Mus musculus: one gene and its partner. The protein of the gene in region 1 interacts with the protein of each later gene in a biochemical or structural test. Links are inferred from orthologs where the notes say so. Each region holds a gene or a part of one and is shown on either strand. Other genes may lie near its edges.

Region 1 (3,805 bases):
CTCCCGGGCAAACATTTACCTTTTCCCTGTGATGCAGTCTCAGAAGTAGGCCTTGGTGTTGAAGTTCCAAATTAATGGACCCCAATCTCCACAAAGGAAAGGGTAGCTAGCCAATCTTTTGTATCTTATTAAGGAGTGTGTGGGAGGAAAAGAGTGGGTTTTTGTTGTTGTTTTTGGTTTTGTTTTGTTTTTTTTAACTTGCTCTTTGATGAGGAAAAGATAAACCCTAATTTATATCCTCTACCCTGCAATTAAAGATTAAGACCAGAGCCAGGCCTGTCCAGGCTGGTCTACCCCATGTGGCTCATGGATTTCTCTCCATCCCAGCTCTCACTAATCTAGTGATTCTAACCCAATATTACAGGCTAGGAGATGCCTTTCTCCCTCCTGTGTCCATCTTGGGCTCATGTAACGTATGGTACCCGAGAACAACAGTCTCCTAGACCCTGCTGCGCTCAGGTGCTGCCTGTAATAACTGTGCCACGGTCTATTTCCTGAGACCACTAACCACGGATGTGACTAGAAGGAGGAATTTATTTCTACAGGCCAGAAGTCCAAAGTAAAGGTGTTGGCAGGGACGCACGCCCTTCGGAGGCTTGGTGGGAAGTGATCTATCTGCCTCTCACGGTGTCTGTGGCTTCCTGCTGTCCTCAGTTTGGGCTGTCCTCAAGCCCTGTCTCTGGTTGGTTATGACTGCCATTTGTGTGCCTACTGCATTGGAGTCCACCTGGCTAAATCAGAACGAGCTCCTCCTCTTTAAACCTCAGCTTAATTGCAGAGTTGCTCTCAGGCTACCAGGATTTGACATGATATTGGGGGAAGGGCAGGCAGCCCCCCCACCCCACTCCACCCCACCCCACCTCCGATTTAGCTGATCACAGGAGCTACCTGATTCAAGAATAGGCCGGGGCTATTCCCAAGTCTTGTTTCCAGTGAGAATCCCATCTCCTCAAACACTCCACTCCTGGCCACAGGCATGCTGGTTCCACCCAGCCGCACCGAGGTAGTGTATATATTCCAAACAAAGAACGTTTGACTAGGGACAGGAGGGATTCTAGATCAGGTAAGGACAGGTGACCCGCTTAGGCAGTCATTAGTCTTTGCCCAGAAAACATCAGGGAGGCGTTTGATGGACTGTTTCTCTTTCTCTTTAGCTTGAGAATAGCGAGTAAAAGCAAGGAGGCGGGACTTTCCGATCTGCCGAGGCCCAGCTTCTGCTTCTCCAGCTGTGGCCACATCAGGCCCGTGCAGGACGATGAATCTGAGCTGGGAAAGGAGTCCTGCTGTTCTCCACCCCCAGACTACAACTCCGTGGTGTTGTACTCCTCCCCGCCCGCCTAAAGCTTCTCACCAGCCCCGACAACCAGCCCCTGACAGTATTATACATCTATGAGTTTACACCTATTCCGCTCCACAGGAGCCAGCTGCTTTTCGTGACCTTTAATCGTGCTTTTTTGTTTTTTGTTTTGTTTGTTGTTGCTGTTTTGACTAACAAGAATGTAACCCCAGTTAGTGACGTGTGAAGAATACTATTGTTAGAGAAATCCCCCCCGCAAAGCCTCAGGGTAACCTGGACAGGAAGGAGCAGGTGCCTCTGGCGACCGCCCCGCCCACCGGCCATGGCCCCACCCACCCTCCCTGCAGCTGTGGGACTAGAGGCAGTAAGCCCATTAGCTCATGGCTGCATGCACTGACCTGCTCTGTCTCTCTTATGGAGGAAAGGGAGAACAGAGCAAACAGGAGGCACAGGAAAAGGCTTTGGGATGCGTCCGTCCTGTGGAGCCCGTGCAGGAGGGGGCTCCGCTATGCCACTTCAGTGACTTCTCACTCCTGGCCTCCGCTGTTTCGGGCCCCCTTCCAAGAGGTATCAGAGCAGAACATGAGGGACGTTTCCTAGACCAGGGCACATGTTCTCGGGAACCACAGTTAATCTTAAATCTTTTCCCGGGAGTCTTCTGTTGTCTGTTTACCATCCAAAGCATATTTAACATGTGTCAGTGGGGGTGGCGCTTGGCTTCTGAGGCCAGAGCCATCATCAGTTCCTCTAGTGAGATGCATTGAGGTCATACCCAAGCTTGCAGGCCTGACCTTCGCATACTGCTCACGGGGAGTTAAGTGGTCCAGTTTGGCCTAGTAAGGTTGCCTACTGATGGGCTCAAAAGCCACATTTTAAACAGGTTTTATCTCAAGTATTAATATATAGACAAGACACTTATGCATTATCCTGTTTTATATATCCAATGAATATAACTGGGGCGAGTTAAGAGTCATGGTCTAGAAAAGGGGTTTCTCTGTACCCAAATCGGGCTGGTTGGACCAAGACCCAGAGAGGCAGAGTGGTTGTCCCAGCTATAGTTACTAAACTACTCACCCAAAGTTGGGACCTCACTGGCTTCTCTTTACTTCATCATGGATTTCACCATCCCAAGGCAGTCTGAGAGGAGCTAAAGAGTATCAGCCCATATTTATTAAGCACTTTATGCTCCTTGGCACAGCAGGTGATGTGTAATTTATGCAAGCTCCCTCTCCAGCTAGGACTCAGGATATTAGTCAATGAGCCATCAAAAGGAAAAAAAAAAAACCATCTTATTTTCATCTGTTTCATACCTTGTCTGGGGTCTAATGACGATGGCAACAGGGTAGACATGGGAAGACAGGGTAGAAAAGGGTGCCCGCTCTTTGGGGTCTAGAGATGAGCCCTGGGTCTCTAAAATGGCTCTCTTAGAAGTTGTATGTGCAAATTATGGTCTGTGTGCTTAGGTCGTGCACACCTGCCGGAGCCGGTCACAGCTGGGCAGACGATGAATAGCTGCTTTGGGAGAGCAGAGCATGCTAGCCACTTAATTCTCTGACCGGGCCAGCATCATGGGTACCTGCTCCCCTGTGTACCCCATCCTTAAGGTTTTCTGTCTGATGAGACTGGAGGCCCAGTGCAATCCCCACTGAGACAGCCTGCAGCCCACTGTGGCTCTTGGTGCACTCACCAGCCAGGACTAGACAAGTAGGAAAGGGCTTCTAGCCACACTGGAGAAAAAGAAAATCAGGTAGGGCTGGCCAAAGACATCTTTGTCCATTCGCAAAAGCTCTTGTCGGCTGCAGTGTGTAAGTCAGGCGATGAGACAGAGGCTACCAGAGAAACGGATGAGAACAGCAGCCTGAGGTTTCTCATCCAGATATCCAGCAATTGGGGGGTGGGGGAAGACCATAGATGGTCCTGTATTATTCCGATTTTAATAATCTAATTCGTGATCATTAAGAGACTTTAGTAAATGTCCCTTTCCCACAAAAGTAAAGAAAAGCTATCGGGATTCTCTGGTTCTGCTTAAAGACTTAGCTTTGGAGCCTATGAAAGTTGATCAGCCAGGAAAAAAAAAAAAAAAGGAAAGAAAGGAAAGAAAGAAAAAAAGAAGGAAGACGGTTCCTTCTGAGTTTTTAGGGTAGGAAGAAAAATGGAAACTTCTAACGACAGACATACCTAGGTGCACTGGGCCTGATCACCAAGAACATGATTGGATGCTAAGAGCCTGGACAGTGGCATTCAAACCGTTTGCCATTCAAGGCCCAAGTAGATGGCACTGAGGAAGAACAGACATTTCTCCCAGTGTGTGAGATCGCCAGTGTGTGACTAGGGAGCTGAAGGTCAGGCAAGTCTGCATTAGCCTGAGATGGACTGTCAGGGGGCAGTGCTGTTCAAAGCCTGTTGCACGGGACTCAGTGCAGGGAGAGGGCAGGGCACCCTTGACCCACGGTGGCAGGAACTGTACGTGTTTGTGTGTGTGTATCTGTATGTTTTGTGCATAACTAT
Region 2 (4,362 bases), on another chromosome or scaffold:
ATCTAGGAATAGATGCACTTCAATGCCTAGGTGTACACGAGATGCTGTGAGCACGTGTGGATCCTGGCTACCTATCCACAGCATCCTTGGGTCAGCTCACTTTCATCCACATGCACAATGACCCCGCAACCATGCTCTGGAGCCAGGGAGACAATCTGTCTACTGTACAATCCCCAGCATGTTGGAGCTCGTCAGAATGTTCTTTGCAACCCCCGCTTAGCTGGCCAGTGACTGGCCCCTGGCTCCTGGACCTGCAGGCCTCAGGGCCTACCAGACAGAGAGGCAGCATCTCTGGCAGCCCCTTGTGGGTGGGCAGCAGGCCACAGACACAGAGGTCACTGGGGGTGAGAGCCAGGACTGCCCTAGCCTCCCTGCCTCTGAATGGAATGTGATCCAAGAGCCACCTCCCAGGCCCATCTCCTCCCCCACAGCCACCCACCAACTTCTGACTCTGGATGCTGCCAGGTTTTTGCAACCAGCCCACAAGCTGGTCACAGAGGTTTGTTAGAATGGTAGGTGATGAAGAACAACTCAGGAACACAGGAGGTTACCACAAAAGTACAGACATGCATGGCTGCACACAAGTACAAAGAGATACCCAGAGACCCAGATCTGCGACACACAGTGTAACTGGGCACGTTCAGTGGGTGACATATACACACAGCTTCATAGGTATACACAAGTGCCCATGCAGACACCACCTCTCCTCAGCATGTCCTGCTGCTCTAGAACACTTCCTCTTCTGCTTGGGCTCGGGAGGTGATGCCAGGTTAGTCCATTCCCTACCTCTAATAGGCTGGCCTGACCTGACAGGAGGAAGTGGTGGTGGACCTAGGTCTAGCCAGGTGCCCCGAGGTGTTTCCTGTGTACAGCCCACAGCTGGGCTGCCCTGTGCCTGCCTACCAGGTCAGATAGTACATGGAATAGAGGGACGGTTCTGGAGGCACGTAGCTTGTCTTGTCTCTGCCAGATCCCTGTCTACGCAGGCAGATGCCCGCGGGCACACATACACTTTCCTAGTGTGAATATGAACATTGTTCAGCATCTGCAGGTGGTGCCCTCTCATAGGATCGGGTTGTTAGTCTATAAAATGGGGTTAGTAATCCTGTCACCTCTCCTCCCGGGGTTGTGTAGGGATGGCACTGGTCATGAAGGGCCACAGCAAGATGCTGCCTTCTTAGTACTGCACTCCCTGCAGAGGTCACTTAAGTACCCAGCCATCTCCAAGGCAGATGTTGGACGTCCGCACCTGGAGGCTCCAGAAGAGCCAGGTGCAACCTTGGCTGTCGCTGCGGGCTGACCCTGGGGCAAGCTAATGAACGCCTAGCTCCGAGGGGCCAGGAGATCTGCGCCGGCAGCGCCCCTTCAGCGCCCTGCGGGGTCACGCGCACTCAGGTCTCACCGCCAACCGGCTCTCAGCGCTCCCGGGCTGCTCCTGGGGCCTCGAGATAGAAGTGGGCGGGCAGGCTGCAGCCCCGCCCCATACACGGTCTTGAAAACCAGCGGCCGACTAGCTTCAGTTCGTAGGGAAGCTGCAGTCTGAGAAGGAAACCGCATCTTCAGACTTCTGCTCACTCACGAGAGGAGCTAGGGTCATCGGACCCCTAAGATCCTTTCACATCGCTCCGACTCGCCGGAACACTCCTCACCAGTTTCCTCAGCCACAGCCCTACCTGTGAGCTCCGGACTTCCCCGGCTTTCTGTGGATGCTCAGGCAGACTGCAGAGACCTAGCCTAGGACAGCAGTGAGGGGGACACTCCTCTCCTCTCCTCTCCTCTGGTATCAGCGTCTCCCCCAAGGGGGACGAGCATGGTGATTGTGCCTTGAAGGACCTTGGCTCTGGATGTCTGAGAAGATGCTGGTCATGAAGCTGTTCACTTGCTTCTTACAGGTCCTAGCTGGGTTGGCTGTGCATTCCCAGGTAAGGACCTGGCCTGGCTTCCTCTTGACCTTCTCATCCTAGCCGTAGAAACAGGGGCTATGGTCTTTAATTACAGACTCACTTTAGAGAGCAGCTTCTGCTAGGGTGCCCACATATTTCCCAGGGGCTGGGCTGGACCTCAGGGAGGAGACCTCTGGCTGGGCAGTCCCCAATTCCTGGGGGCTGTCTTAGTGGGGGCAGGGAAGCCACAGGGAATGAGGGAGGTTTCCTGTCTAGCCCCTGGAGCCCTAGTGGCTTTGCAAAAAGCATCCGTCCACTAATCCCAGTCAGCTCCCTGGCCCTGTGGTCAGGGTTGTGGCCCCATGACCAACCAGGCGCCCCCAGGACCTCTGACCTGGCCTAGTGGGGAAGGAGCTGACTAAAGAAGCTTGAGGTGGGGAGGTGAGGCCCTTCCCCCACCATTGCTCCAATTGAGCAGAGGGCTCTTGGGTGGGCTTCAGATATGACAAGGGATCCTGCCGTGCCCTTTCCTCCTGGTGGGTGTCAGAAGGTCCTGAGTGCAGGGCCTGGGGAAGTGAGCAGGGCCCTTTTCCCAGGAGCTGGGTGAGTCTGGCAGGGAGCCAGATTGGGCAGCAAAATCCTGACAAAGCCAATGCATTCCCTTCCTGCTGCACTGCCCGCTGCACTGCCCACTGCCCTGGGAGCCCTCAGCCCCAGCCCAGGAGTGGGTGGGTTGTCCAGTCCCCTTGCCGAGCAGCCAGGCCATCCGTCTGCTTGCTGCAGTGTTAGCTCGAGGTGTAACGTTACTGGCAGGCAGCACCAGCTCATGGCGCCGCCTCTTCTCCAGCCCCTGAGCTCCCACCAGCTGATCACCCTCCCCCTGGGCTCTGGCACCCAGCCAAGGCGGGCTGTAGTAGGCCCAGCAGGACTGGCCTGGGGGCTGGGCAGAAGAGAGACCCCACAGGATTACAAGCACTTGGGAACACAAGAAGCCTCCTACCCTTTTCCAAGTGAAGAAACTGAGGCCAGAAAGTCAGGTGGTTTTTAGCAGAGGATGGGGGAGGAGCTTGGGGTGGGCTCAAAGAGCCGAGCCCCAAGAATATGCCCCCTCCTTATAGCTCCACCTTTGTGTCCACCGCAGGGGGCCCTGTCTGCTGGGAACAACTCAACAGAAGTGGAAGGTAAGCCAGCCAGGCCAGCTCTGCAAGCTGAGCCCCCTCTCTTCTTTCCTCATGAGCCTCAGCAGCCAAGGAGAAGGGATCGGTTGGTCTGAAGGGTGGGAGCAGGCCAGTGGCAAGCTGGGGTGGGTCTGCAAGCTCGACATCCAGGCTGAAGCCCAAGAGTCCAGCTTTTGTGACCCAGCAGCCTAGAGAGGTGCAGTCATGGGTTAGGGTCACCAAGCACACGGAAAGCAGGACGTGATCGCTAGGGTTCGTCCAGCTGGCTCAGGGCCCCTGCCCAGCAAGCTGTAAGGATGCAGATGGAGTCTTGGTGGACAGAATCTGTGTTGAGTGCCGGAGGCCAGACTGGAGTCTGGGAACTGGATATAGTAAGGAGCATTCAAGGGGCTTGGTCAGGACGAAGAGTCCTCCCTGCCATTCCAACCCTGGTGGAGCTGTGCAGCGCTGACCAGGCGTTTCCATTGATTACAAACAGGCGGGCTCTGTCACACCCTCCCTGGCCCTTTCACTCTCTGCCCTGGGTTGTGTCAAGACATAATCTTCAAAGGGCAGCAGGACCTTTGCCAAAGAGAGGAGCGCGCCCGCCGAAGGCTCGTGCCAGATCCTCTCTCCTTCTCCCTTCTTGCCTCTCAGAGACATGGAGGATGGCCACATACCATGACTGAGGCATCCAACAGCATGGGAGAAAGGATGTGCTTGTAGTAGTGTCCTCAAAGACACAGATAATAGCTGGATTGCTTTCTTGGCCTGGGAACACCCTCTGCTGGTCTGCCCCTTGTCTGTTCCCCATCCCCCTGGGAGCAGCCTGTCTGTCCTCGTCCTCTGCCTGCCCTCACATCTGAAGCCCAGACCACTGAACAGGTTAGAGAGGTAGCTGCCTCAACTTCAGGGACTTGCCCATTTTTGAGCCCCCTGGAATTGATCTGAGGAGGGTCATATCTCCCACCCCCCACATCATATCTGTTATTGGGGACTTTTGTTTGTAGAGCAGACACCAGCTTCCAAAGAGATCTCAGCCTCTGTTTCCTCATCTGTTAAATGGGAGAGCTTAGCTAAGTGCTTGATTTCAAAGACTCTTTTCCCAAGGTTGTGAAATTCTGAGTCCTTGGAAGAAACATGAATGTATATTATACTTGCCAAGATCCAGTGTGAGAAAGCTTGGAGGTATAGATTCAGAGTGTAGGCCATCTCACCTATAATCCTGACAAGCGAGTGGGCCTGCATTGTGGCCAAGGAAACAACAGTGGTTAGCATCTGGCATTGTCATCCCCTCCTGCTAACACCAGAGGCAGAGGCAG

What was found.
Region 2: the proteins of Flt1 (region 1) and Pgf are reported together in a solved structure, tested with the Homo sapiens proteins (2 studies listed by BioGRID and IntAct, with this or other methods). The link is inferred for Mus musculus from reciprocal best matches to the Homo sapiens genes FLT1 and PGF.

What each region holds. Positions count from the first base shown.
Region 1 is NC_000071.6:147,561,756-147,565,560, reverse strand, and holds part of Flt1 (vascular endothelial growth factor receptor 1 isoform 1 precursor), read left to right. Parts: intron 1-1,154; coding exon 1,155-1,341; 3' UTR 1,342-3,805. UniProt on the Homo sapiens protein: Tyrosine-protein kinase that acts as a cell-surface receptor for VEGFA, VEGFB and PGF, and plays an essential role in the development of embryonic vasculature, the regulation of angiogenesis, cell survival, cell migration, macrophage function, chemotaxis, and cancer cell invasion.
Region 2 is NC_000078.6:85,174,458-85,178,819, reverse strand, and holds the start of Pgf (placenta growth factor isoform 1 precursor), read left to right. Parts: upstream 1-1,506; 5' UTR 1,507-1,844; coding exon of another isoform or gene 1,845-1,856; coding exon 1,857-1,922; intron 1,923-2,837; exon of another isoform or gene 2,838-2,920; intron 2,921-3,001; exon of another isoform or gene 3,002-3,024; coding exon 3,025-3,064; intron 3,065-4,362. UniProt on the Homo sapiens protein: Growth factor active in angiogenesis and endothelial cell growth, stimulating their proliferation and migration. It binds to the receptor FLT1/VEGFR-1. Isoform PlGF-2 binds NRP1/neuropilin-1 and NRP2/neuropilin-2 in a heparin-dependent manner.